Linked DNA regions of Drosophila melanogaster. The gene in region 1 interacts genetically with each later gene. Each region holds a gene or a part of one and is shown in the gene's direction. Other genes may lie near its edges.

Evidence for each region.
Region 2: of Fer1HCH (region 1) and Zip99C, changing one suppresses a phenotype caused by changing the other (phenotypic suppression), as found in Drosophila melanogaster (one study listed by BioGRID).

Annotation. Positions count from the first base shown.
Region 1 is NT_033777.3:30,385,102-30,389,635, reverse strand, and holds Fer1HCH (ferritin 1 heavy chain homologue), read left to right. Parts: upstream 1-2,016; 5' UTR 2,017-2,105; coding exon 2,106-2,172; intron 2,173-2,226; exon of another isoform or gene 2,227-2,524; coding exon 2,525-2,533; exon of another isoform or gene 2,534-2,752; intron 2,753-2,807; coding exon 2,808-2,918; intron 2,919-3,039; coding exon 3,040-3,317; coding exon of another isoform or gene 3,318-3,338; exon of another isoform or gene 3,339-3,379; coding exon 3,380-3,652; 3' UTR 3,653-3,834; downstream 3,835-4,534. Other genes in the region: Fer2LCH (ferritin 2 light chain homologue), read right to left, coding at 194-220, 308-425. UniProt on the Drosophila melanogaster protein: Stores iron in a soluble, non-toxic, readily available form. Important for iron homeostasis. Iron is taken up in the ferrous form and deposited as ferric hydroxides after oxidation.
Region 2 is NT_033777.3:29,862,920-29,870,633, reverse strand, and holds Zip99C (Zinc/iron regulated transporter-related protein 99C), read left to right. Parts: upstream 1-1,738; 5' UTR 1,739-2,101; intron 2,102-2,562; exon of another isoform or gene 2,563-2,644; intron 2,645-2,816; exon of another isoform or gene 2,817-2,890; intron 2,891-3,419; exon of another isoform or gene 3,420-3,454; intron 3,455-4,099; exon of another isoform or gene 4,100-4,118; intron 4,119-4,453; exon of another isoform or gene 4,454-4,533; intron 4,534-5,121; exon of another isoform or gene 5,122-5,234; 5' UTR 5,235-5,366; coding exon 5,367-5,577; intron 5,578-5,637; coding exon 5,638-5,745; intron 5,746-5,807; coding exon 5,808-6,221; intron 6,222-6,283; coding exon 6,284-6,439; intron 6,440-6,497; coding exon 6,498-6,676; 3' UTR 6,677-6,933; downstream 6,934-7,714. Other genes in the region: CG34133 (uncharacterized protein), read right to left, coding at 580-784, 841-926; RpS8 (ribosomal protein S8), read right to left, coding at 7,116-7,219, 7,438-7,714. UniProt on the Drosophila melanogaster protein: Involved in zinc transport and homeostasis.

The DNA of each region.
Region 1 (4,534 bases):
CAATAGTAATGACATAGTCTTAATGGTTCCTAACTAGGTAGTGCCATACTAAACAAGGCAATAGAATTTTGAATTTGTATTTGTATCTTTAAAATAATAATGTAAGGGCCGTAATGCAGTAAGAATTGGAAAGTGTTCATTTTCACGAAATCTGAGATAGTGCAGAAATACATCCAATCTATATTTCACTTACTCTTGCCTGTGAAAAAGCCCGTGAGCGCTTGTTTTTATTATTATGTTTTACAAAGATACAAAAAGCAACAACACAGATTAGCCACTCTCTCTTAGAGGCGCTCTCTTTACTCACCCGAAAAGGCTGACGTAGAGCATGCGGTGATTACAGTGTTCTGGCAATATTCATCATCCTTGGCCAAGGCAAGAGAGCCGAGGCACGCAAAGAGAGCGAGTGCAACGAAAAATTTCATGTCGACGGTTTACTGTAAATTAAAATCAAATTCGAGAGGCGAAAACAAAGGAAATTAGTTTCACAACAATTGACAATTGGAAAACAGACACTTTTGTTTTCATTTTGGGCGAGTTTTTTCGTTTTGCGTCGTAGCGTTTTCTTGAATTTTCTGTGCTCTTTTTTAACAACAAAACCACCACCAATGGAATGTTTTGGTTTTTAAATTTATATGGTGGTCGGTTTAAAAACACAGTTTCCAGAATATTATTTTCTAGTTTTCGTAACTAAACACTCACAAAGTAGTTAGTTAGTAATATTAAAACTCACTTCCAGTGCCTGTGCTTTTATTAATAATTCAATCGCTTTATGTGCTTCTTGGTGAAACTCTGAAAATCAACTGCTGTTTATAGCGTCGCGTACGTCTCTTTCTATGCGATCGATATGGCTGTGTGTGTGTGGTTTTGGAGAGCGTGCATGGGCATGTGTTGTTTTGCGCTCAGTGCGGGATTTCGGTGTCATTCAAATATGGCCGCTGCCAGTGCTGTTGTTGCTGCGCCTGCTGGAAGGTGACTCACGACAGGGTTGTCAGCGTGTGCAAAATATGGACGCTGCACTTTGGATTTCAAGTGGTTTCCTGAGAGTTTTATCAGCTAACGATGAGAATTGAAAATAAACTGCAGATAAACCATCTACCTCCTAAGATAATGTTTTAAGTTTTGATATATTGGTAATTCACAGCAGCATCGAGCTTGAGACTGTTGCTATTTACAATACATATTATTGCTGGGTTCGGAGATAATGTAGGGTTTCCCCAATCAACAAACAAATTATGTAATTTGTAAGTTTTCCCACCATGTATCCTTCTTATCAAGTGTCATTCTTGGAGCTCTGCAAGCGACACGTAAAAAAGAGCCGTCGCCATATTAGCAGTTATCAAAGTGGGTGACTGATCCCCCCTTCGAACGTGCAAATCAACTTGACAAAATGTGAATTAAATTGTCAGCAATAATTAAACCGCCTGGCAACACATGACGTGGTGCTCTCCCACGGCCAAAACAAAAACAAAGAACAGCTGATGCGCATCTCAAAAGAGCGGCCATATTGCATTTGATAAATTTACTTCTTAGTAAGTGGGGATTATCTGACTAGGAAACCCGACTTTATACAAAGTATACCCATATTGAGGACGTGTGTATCACATTGAGTGCGGCAATTATCGGGAATATTCAATTATCAGCCATTTAAACGGTTAACAAAGAACGGGCGACATGTTGAAAAGATAACAGTGCACACTCTCCCATCACTCACACACACACGAAGAAAAACCGAGAGCGCGCGCGCTTAAAAGTGTTTTGTGCGCCGTTCGGAGCGACAGTTCGCTTTCGAGTTCGCTAAAACACAACGTAGAAAGGCCTTAGCTCCACTGAAAAATCAGATTAAAGCTGTCAGCAGAAGGTACTGGAAAGCATTCGAGAAGTCGAAAATAATCCCAATCAAGCCCATCAAATTGAAGCAGGCGACGCCTTCTGCGCCAGTGTGTGTAAAGGCAGCTAGATTTTCAATTTCAACGCCTATTTAACATTGTAGCTCAACTCGAGTCGCCTCATTCTCATTTGTGCATTTCAAGCAAATCAAACTAAAGTGAAAAACAAATTTTTGTTCTGTGATTTTGTGTAAAGACTACGTTCGACGATCAAAGATGGTGAAACTAATTGCTAGCCTGCTCCTGTTGGCCGTGGTGGCCCAGGCCTATGGAGATTTCAAGTGTAAGTACTAATGTTACGTTTTATTCATCAGAATTTCAAACAAAACAAAGGCAGGTCATCGGAAAAAAAACAATAAATTTCGACGCAATACGCAAAGAGAAGCAAAACATTTGTAATGCGTTGAAAAGAGCATGCGCCGTTTCTCTTTGACGCTCTTTCACTCTCTTTCGTCAATGAAGTGAAGTTACCAAACCAGTTGATTTAAAAGTTATTGATACTTCCGTTGCGCTTTGGGGAAATGATAACCAGTTTTTATACATAAATTTTCATAATTAAATAATGCGAATTTCGCTTTCATTTCCATGAATATTGCGGTATAAATAAGCTTGACTTTTTGTTGTTACATTTCAAGGCGCTCTTTGCACACGGCTTTTACGGGCCGAGTGAGCTAGCATGGTGAACCATGCTTTTTGCACACGGCACTACACGAAAACAAATGCCGTTACTATGGCGGCGAGAGCTGCGCACGTTACCAATGCAGTTACAAAAACAGAGAGAGAGAGTGGGAGAGTAGGCCATTACAGTTTTGCACACGGTTTTTGTGCCCTAGAATAGCGGCATTTCAAGCGCAATTTCAAAGGTTTATGCAATTACGCCCTCTTAAATGCAATAACCAACAACGCCCTACCCCTCAGCCAAGCAAGAAAGCAAGAGTTTCGTGAGAGAGCTTCAAAGGGAGCGAGAAGAGCATCAACTAAAAGAAAAACAAAACCTAAGCCATGAAGGTCAAGACCAAGAGTGCAAAGGTTTTTAAAATATTAAAATTTACCTAAGTTCTGATTACAAAAATAAATTTTTTAAAGCTGAATACTAGCCATATATTGTTATCGTGGTCCCCCGACTTAACCCAACCTTATCCCATTGCAGGCTCCCTGGCTGTTCCTGAGATTACCAAGGACTGGGTGGACATGAAGGATGCCTGCATAAAGGGCATGCGCAATCAGATCCAGGAGGAGATCAACGCCTCCTACCAGTACTTGGCCATGGGCGCCTACTTCTCCCGCGACACCGTCAACCGCCCTGGATTCGCCGAGCACTTCTTCAAGGCCGCCAAGGAGGAACGTGAGCACGGATCCAAGCTGGTGGAGTACCTGTCCATGCGCGGTCAACTGACCGAGGGAGTCAGCGATCTGATCAATGTGCCGGTAAGTCGACGACTCGCCTAGAAAACCCAAAAGCCCAGCTAATCCTGGCGAATCCCCCACAGACTGTGGCCAAGCAGGAGTGGACCGATGGTGCCGCCGCCCTGTCCGACGCCCTCGACCTGGAGATCAAGGTGACCAAGTCCATCCGCAAGCTGATCCAGACCTGCGAGAACAAGCCCTACAACCACTACCACCTGGTGGACTACCTGACCGGTGTCTATCTGGAGGAGCAGCTCCACGGACAGCGCGAGCTCGCCGGCAAGCTGACCACTCTCAAGAAGATGATGGACACCAACGGCGAACTGGGCGAGTTCCTGTTCGACAAGACCCTGTAAGGAGGTGGAGATAGAGAAGGCGCAGCGCCCAGTCACGCATCAAAATTATCAGCCAGTCGAGTTATCTGTTATCTGTCAGCCCAGAGAGCCTTCCCGAGGGTCCGCTATTAAATCATCACCAGCCAAGTCGGCGACTGGCCAATAAATTATCCGTTCGACTGCGATCCTCAAACCAGCACAGCAAAATTCCACGTCTGTTCTTTCTTATCAACCACTTGTGATTTCCGTACACCTCGGGAGGGGGCTCCACATTATGCAATCGCCGAGATTTCGCCTAGGCTTAAGTGGAATCGCTCATTCGCATAGTAAGACACTCAGCACAACCCATTCAATACATCCTATATCTTTATATTTTTCTGTCAATTAGACGAGCAAGTTCTTAAATAAATAACAATATATATGTAACGAAATAAACTGTATATGCGTTTGTTTTTGAGGGAGTTTTTTCAGATGGAAAACGAGGGTGATTTTATTCTTGTTGATAATTTTCGATGGGGATTTCACAGAAAAAGTGCTATATCTTGGGAAAGACACGTCCAATTGTGGAGTGGAATACCTCGTTGAACTTGTAAAAATATTCCTAAACGACGGGTAACTCATTTAGAGAAATTTTTGGTTTGAAAATTTTTTCGATTTTTTATGATGTTACCCCTTACAAAAAATGCGAAATTTGGCCGAAAAATTATTTTTCCAAATTAAAGCAAATATTGATATGGGTCTTTAGCTGAGGACCCCAGCTGACTAAAAAAGTGCGTTTTTCAGCCTTGTGACATATTTTGGCCAACTTACAACGAAAAAACTGTAAAAAAGGTGTTTAAAACTGGAATGTTTAAGGAAAAAGAAATTGTGTTTTTGGGAATGGTGAAGTTGTAGGTTATTTCG
Region 2 (7,714 bases), 520 kb from region 1:
AATGTTCTCTTGCTAATTAAGACTAGGTAAATTCCATAAACCGTATCATATCGGTTTTTAATCAATTTCTAAGGCAGTGACAGTTTTTAAATGTCGCTAAGGGAGCGGTTGAGAAATGTATGGCTGTGAGCATTGATAATAACTATGGGAAGTTGGCGCGAAATGGTAGGTATATGACCATCTATATGTGGAAAGATAAGGAACAACAATAATAAAGACCTAAACATAAAAATATACTTGCTTTACCAAACGAATGGTTCCTAATATTGTACATATATCTCATCCACTAGTGTTTAAAATAGAACAAAATAAATGAAAAAACTGCACATGATGATCACAGACATTGGACAGAGCGCAGTTTTTAACCGCTTTAAAAATTTAGCCATAAATTTAAGCTTCACATGGTAGTAAACCTTCTACAAATTACACCACCAGACATATGAGCTGAATGAGGGCTTTCACACGTGGGAATGGTGTTCCAAGGCCACTGATGATGGATCGTTACCCTAGTAGATGACATCATAACTGGGTCTAGCAAAACGGAAGTAAGAGCACTCCATGTGGACCCCATTCACTTACAGGTCCTATCACGGGCTTGGGCTCAACGAAGACCCCTGCATCCTGCGGCTTTAGCCGGGCACCCAGGCTATTAGTGGGACTCCGGGTGGCGGGCGTTCCAGCGCCAATGGGCGTAGCATCGCTGTCGGATGAGGCGGCGGCATTCACTCTCACGGCGGGCTCGGGAAAGATGAACTCCTGGGCCACCTCGGGCGGCAGCTTTCGACTGAAATGGCCAGGGATTAATTAAACATTTTTACGGGGTAAGCCACAAGAACCTACCACAAAGTCGAATGGCGATTGGGCGTAGTGTCCTCGGCATCGAAAAACTCCTCTGAACTGTCCGAATCCGTTTCCAGCTTACTCATTTCGTGATTTGTGCGTTTGTGATGGGTTGTCGGCGTTATCTAACCACCCAATCGTATGCAAATTATCCACCAAATTACGATTTTCTCTATGGTTTTTTGTTATTGATTCCCTTTTGTTGCTGCGGCGCCCCACTGTCTTTTGTTGTTGTTGCTTTGTTGCTTTCTACTCGTGTGACGTCACTCGCTGCCGCACTAGCGCTGAATGCACTGCATTTAACATGTTGCTATCGCCTGCGTTTTATTACACATAATTATACTGCTAATTTAGTTCCTAATCAATTGTTAATTGAGTTTTTACGCTTGATACGCGTAAATACTAGTGGTGTCAAAGATGCAATAATGATTTCGATTGCGTCAAGTATGATTAATAAGCAATCGATTGAACTAGCGATGGGCTATTGGTCGTGCTTGCTCGTGACACGCAAAAATGCGGCGAGAGTCCGCGCGTATTTTAAATTTATACACTGTATTAAATTTATACAAAAACCTAATGTTTTATGTTTATATTCCAATATTAAATCGAAAATATATATATACAAAATTTTTAATTTCCTACATCTCGCTTTGAAAATAACGTATTTGAGGCAATAGGGGGCATTTAAATATTTTCTACATAAGTCGGATTTCTACATATATGTGCCTAATTTTACTATGGTATTTAATTATCGATCACTGGTAGTCACACAGCTGATATCAAGCTCCCCCACCATTGTTGGGATCTCTGCTAAGATAAAATTCAACCTGTTATCGATAACCGACATTTTTGATTGTGGACTGCCACCGCTATCGAAATGCACCATATTGCTTTGTTATTGTATTTTCCGCACGGCCCTCGAACAAAGTAAACAAATGTATAAATGCATGTGTTTTTGGCGAGCTTGTAACTGTTAGTGAAGCGACGCGCGGAGCGACGACATCAACATTAAGCCCGTGTTTCGAGTTAGGCGAGGCCAGGCGTACGTTTAACCCACGCAGAGCCCGGGCGAAATAAACGTAAATTCACGCAATTACTTCGCAGTAAAAAAAGCATCGGGTGCCAATGATCGCTACTACGCAATAGAAAAGTAATTTATCATACAATTTCGCCACTGCAAAAATCGAAAGTTTCGGGTTTTATTCCCTGCTATAAAAGTGATAAGAGCACGTTAACCCGTTCCTGTTACAGCTGAATAACGGTAAAAATAACTGCACACCCATCCCAACCGATTATCTGAAATCGGGCTCGAAGACAAAGTCTGGTATTTAATGGCAGCCACCTAATGATTATGTGACATTTCGCTTTGTGGTGAAAGAGATCCTAATCCATTAAAACTATATACTATATGCATGAATGTAGGATCTAGAAGATGAAAACATAAGTGCTTAAATCGACTCAGCTGGTGTTGCTTATCAGTTATGTACAAAGTACATATGTTTCTCTGTAGATAATTCCATTGTTTTATCGTGCGGTTTCAAATAAAAGCATCAGAGACGTTTTCGAAAAATGTGTTGAATTTTTAGAAGTACATGATACGATACTTCTTTTGAGCAAACTTCCAACTTCCGCATAGATCTCTTGATATGCCGCATAACTAACCTAGTGTAAGATTATCATCTGCACGTCACTAATAGCGGCCATATTTGAGTAATTTTGAACAGTACTCAATCTAATCTCGAATCTGTGCTCTGAACACTATAATCATATTGAGCGTATTGCGTTTTATCAGCGGTACATATATGTATGTATGTATATAGAAAAACAAATGGACTAGACTTTGTTGAACAACAATACAATGATAACTTGTTTGGCAAACTGGTTTCGCGGCTTCAATCTTGTTTATTAATAATGTAGAATCGAAGGGTTTGCTTCTCCGTATGCTGGTTAATCAAACTCAAAGCCATGTGATACTCAGTGCTCGGTTGTGGGTGTAGACATATGCACATAGTACCCTGATCGGAACAAAGAACTTTCTTCGGTGTTCTAGGTGATTTACAAGGGTGACAAATCTATTTATGACTAGTGCAGCAAAGCTGAAGCTCGATTAAAACTCGGGAATGTACCAAGTTTCCTTTTTCCCATGCCATACACTTTAATATTCTTTGTTGATGAATTCCCTTTATCTATACTTTCTTTATATCTGCTCGGGCACACTCCTTATCACCCAAGGGACCAAGTTTCTCATTCGGATTGTTTGCCCCGCACGTTTTGATTGATAATCAAAGCATGTTCACTACGCCATGTCCCAGTTTTAGTGCAGCGTGCAAAATAATCTCTGCCATTTTGATGATCCATTCAAAAGTTTGCGGCCCTACTGGCGACAATAATGATTCACAAGTGATTGGCGAGCTAGCAACTCTTTTAATTGCATCTTTACGCCAAATTGTATTTATAGCACGAGCTTTGGAGTCCCCTGTTTATATTTTCTTTTCAATTCATCTATAAGAAGGCGAAGAAGACGATAATTGCACCACAACGAGCTCAGTTACCGACGCGATAACACACGAATTGTGGAGCTTGGAGCATAAATTTCCGCATTAGCAACGCTCAAGTGTGATATAGTTTACTGGTATTGTGTTAACAGTTGGCAGTATACAAATACCTCACGCCACAAATCAACTTTAAATCGCAGAAGAATCTATTGTCCTCTAGTCTTCCAGCAAAATAGTGCCACATTATGTTTATTAAGTACTTGTGCGATTCGCCATATTCGTGAATAACTAACTAACTATCTGAGTGTAATTGACAGGATTCCCGGAATTAATCTGAACTGTCTTTTCAGTGAAGGCTCGCCCAAGAAACACAGCAATTAGTGCAACAGCTAAACAGATAATCCCGAGTTATTGTGCCGAAATTGAATTATTTACTCATCTGATCAAACCGTAAAAGCAAACTTGAGTGGCTTCCTAGTAGCGATTTTCGACTAATTTAAAAGAAACCTGAATCTGAACAAGAAGACTCTCTTTGCTATTGTTGTTTTGCGAATCTTTAAAGGGCAAATACAGTAGAATAACAATAAAAGCGTGAAACAGTCATAGTTCGCATAGAGTATTTGTAATATTGGAACAGATGAACTGAATGATAGTTAATACAGCCTCCTAGTCTCAGTCTTTAGAGATATTTTGGGTAACTCAAGTAATTACACGATGTCTAAATCTAATCTAGCTCATTTGCTTTCTGATAGTTCAATGACAACGACACTGCGAAAGATAAGAGTGTAGTATATACGTATATAGTTATTGTATAGCCATAGCTTACCGGATTGATTTCGCATCTCGCTACTGAAGTTCCGAGGCATTCCCATTCTGCCCGTTCTGTCGGGGATTAGACATCATTCGTCCGCTTCCAAGTTTGATTCCCCAATACACATGCGGAGTATTGCCGCTTAGCAAAACCGCCGAAATCATGTCACTCCATTGTGCCAGCGCCATCGTAATCTTATCGCGGCAAAGTGAACAGTTTAAGCTGCATCGTGCACATCAAATCGGAAATCAAATGGAAACAAAGTATCTTGACGTGGGCGTTCCGAAGCAGCGTCTCCTGAAAATTCGTTTAGTCTGTTTCTGCACATTGGAAGCGTCGGTTATCGAGCTTGGAAATTAATTTTCGCCCAATTTACAATCTGTTTTGGTTGGTGGCAGTGATATAAAAGTAGTTTACGATCGAGAGAAGTTTGATTTACAAGTAGAATTCTTCTACTAATCGTACAGCAGATTCTAAAATAAAAAATCCTGGAAAGCAATCACATTCAAACTAACTAACTGCATCTAAATTGCTTATTAATTATGGAAAAAGCCAATTAATTATTGCTCGAACTCGAACAAGCCATATTGGCAAATATATATTTATCATTTAAGTACCTGCATTTTAGATAAAGTCTACCAGGTTCGCTGTGATACGGGTAACAAGTTCCACAACGAACAATTTGATATTTTATTGGTTATAGTGAGGCAGGACACGCTTACTCATCCTGATGGAGTAGCTATCGGGCAATGGTCTTAGTTTGATTGACTGCCGTTCCCTATGAAGCCGTCTAGTCACACTTAAGTTGCCATGATTAAATTTTACAGAGACTCGCTTATCGAACCTGACAACGAGCGCAGTTGAGAGAGTTTTTCCCTGCCCCTTTATTGATTATGGCTGACATTGTCCATATCTAAAGGATTTTCGCATCACCGTCTGTCTGATACTAAGAACCGCATCTAGTTATTCAATGATTTTGTTGCCAGGTGGCGGATTTGGGGAAACATTTGCTTAACTGGCTATTTGTATCAAAATTTACGTGTGTGCTGACATTTCTTAAACCATTTAAATTATATTTTCTTTACTAGCCGAGTCATCATCGATCACGGCACATACTCCACCGAAAGTCACTGGACATGAGCAGGCAGCAGTGACTGAAGAAACCCAACCCAGTTCCAGCACAGAGCAGCGCATAAGTAGCCGTAAAAAGGCAGCCGAAAATGACCACGAACAGCAGCTTCTTCGATGAACACATCGCCATGATATACTCCAACCTGATGGACCAGTACATGCCCGAGTACTTCAAAAGCTTTGAGTACACGCCATGGGTTTTCTCCCTGCTGGGATCGGTGGTAATTGGACTGAGTGGCATATTCCCGCTGATCATCATTCCCACGGAGGAGAAAATGGCTAAGGAGGGATACAAAGATCGTAAGTCACATGCGTACGAAAAGTATATCAATTGAACTTGAATCACATCTCACCCTACAGCTGCAGATTCAAAACTCCTGCGAGTGCTTCTGAGTTTCGCGGTCGGCGGTCTGCTGGGCGATGTGTTCCTTCACCTGTTGCCAGAAGCCTGGGAGGGCGATAATCAAGGTGAGTTGCGGGGAAATCCAAGTTGTGAAATCATCTCCATAATATTCGTTTTCCTCCTAAAGATCCTTCTAGTCACCCATCCCTGCGCTCGGGCCTTTGGGTACTTTCCGGCATACTGATCTTCACGATCGTGGAGAAAATCTTTTCCGGATATGCCAGCGCGGACGAGGAGAACCCTCAGCCCAAGTGCGTGGAGATAGCCAACTGCCTGTTGCGTCGACATGGCGGCCAACTACCAGAGGGCGAAACCTCTGAGAGTTGTGGCGGCGCCTGCGACATCGAAGATGTAGGTAAAGTCTGTTTCCTACGCGAGCAGGAACAGAAGTCAAAGGAAAGGAAGGAACAGCCGAAGAAGGTGGCTGGTTATCTGAACCTCTTGGCCAACTCAATTGACAATTTCACACACGGTCTAGCCGTGGCTGGATCCTTTTTGGTGTCCTTCAGACACGGCATTCTAGCCACTTTTGCCATATTGCGTAAGTACTTATAGATACTATTGAAACATAGGATAGTTCCTCACTTATTTCCCTACATACAGTTCATGAAATTCCGCACGAGGTGGGGGATTTCGCAATCCTGCTTCGATCCGGATTCAGTCGCTGGGACGCCGCGCGTGCGCAACTACTCACGGCGGGAGCTGGCCTGCTCGGTGCTCTGGTGGCCATCGGAGGCTCCGGCGTAACGTCGGCCATGGGTAAGCTTAAATGGGCTCTCCGTGTGACAAACAAGCAAACTTATCTTTACATTTACAGAGGCACGTACTTCGTGGATTATGCCGTTCACCGCCGGCGGCTTTCTGCACATTGCTCTGGTCACAGTATTACCTGATCTCTTGAAGGAGGAGGAGCGCAAGGAGTCCATTAAGCAGCTGCTAGCACTGGTATTTGGCATTGCGTTAATGGCCGTGATGACCATGCTATTCGAACACTAGGAACTTTAGCTGACAGCAGTATAAGAAGAAAATTGAAAGCAGTTTTTAGTTTGTTCTAAGATTGTCATTGGCAGTTTTAAATTAACATGAATTTGTTGTACTTTATGGGATTCGACATCCTGTCTGCGTTATGTAATTATAGCCAATATGAATGATATTTAAACTATTATTAATGATTACGTATTACTGTATCATACTTATGAAACGAAAATTCAATAGACATTTAAGGGAGAGTCCTTTGCCCTCCACTATCCACGAACATTCTTATCTTTTATCTGGACTTTATTTGGGTAACAAAAGCGTCCACTATTTGGGCTGCATTTCTTTGTCAGCAGGAAAATTAAAGAACAAAATCAGAAAAATGCACTTCCTATAAAAAACAAGTTGTTTTATTCCGTTTTTGTTTGCAAATCATGTCTTGCAAGCTTATCTAGTGCCTTTATTTCTTAGACTTGATCTTCTTAAGGTAGAATTCCAACTCCTTGCCTTCCAAAATGTAGCCGTCGGAGCGACCGCACTGTCCGGGGCGGGAAGAAATGCAAGCTGAAAGGAAAAATAACAGGGAATTAGAGCGGGGCTTCCAGTAAATGGAAAAGTATAAGTTTAGTGGTCTGATCAGAGTAACTATGACAAGCAGAATCACACCCAACAGGCTTGCGTCTCTCTTAAAACAAGATCAACACAATAAAGTAGCTGGATCGCTAGGGTTTTTACATCACTATAACAAAAATCATTAATCATGAATTAGAAAGAATACACACCCAAGATGCGGCCGGAGGTGAACTGATCCTCGAGGGCCTGCTCGACCTTGCCGTACTTCTGGCGCTCCAGGTACTTCTTCATAACCTTTTCGCTGCGCTTCTTGGTCAGCACGTCGTTCTCGTCCTCTTTCTGGGCGTGCTTGGGGTTACGCTTGCGTCCCAGGGGCAGCACGTAGTGAGCCTCGTACCACTGGCGGAAGGGCGTGGCATCGATGACCACGATGCTGTTCTTCACCAAGGTCTTGGTTCGCACCAGCTCGTTGTTGGAGGCGTTGTA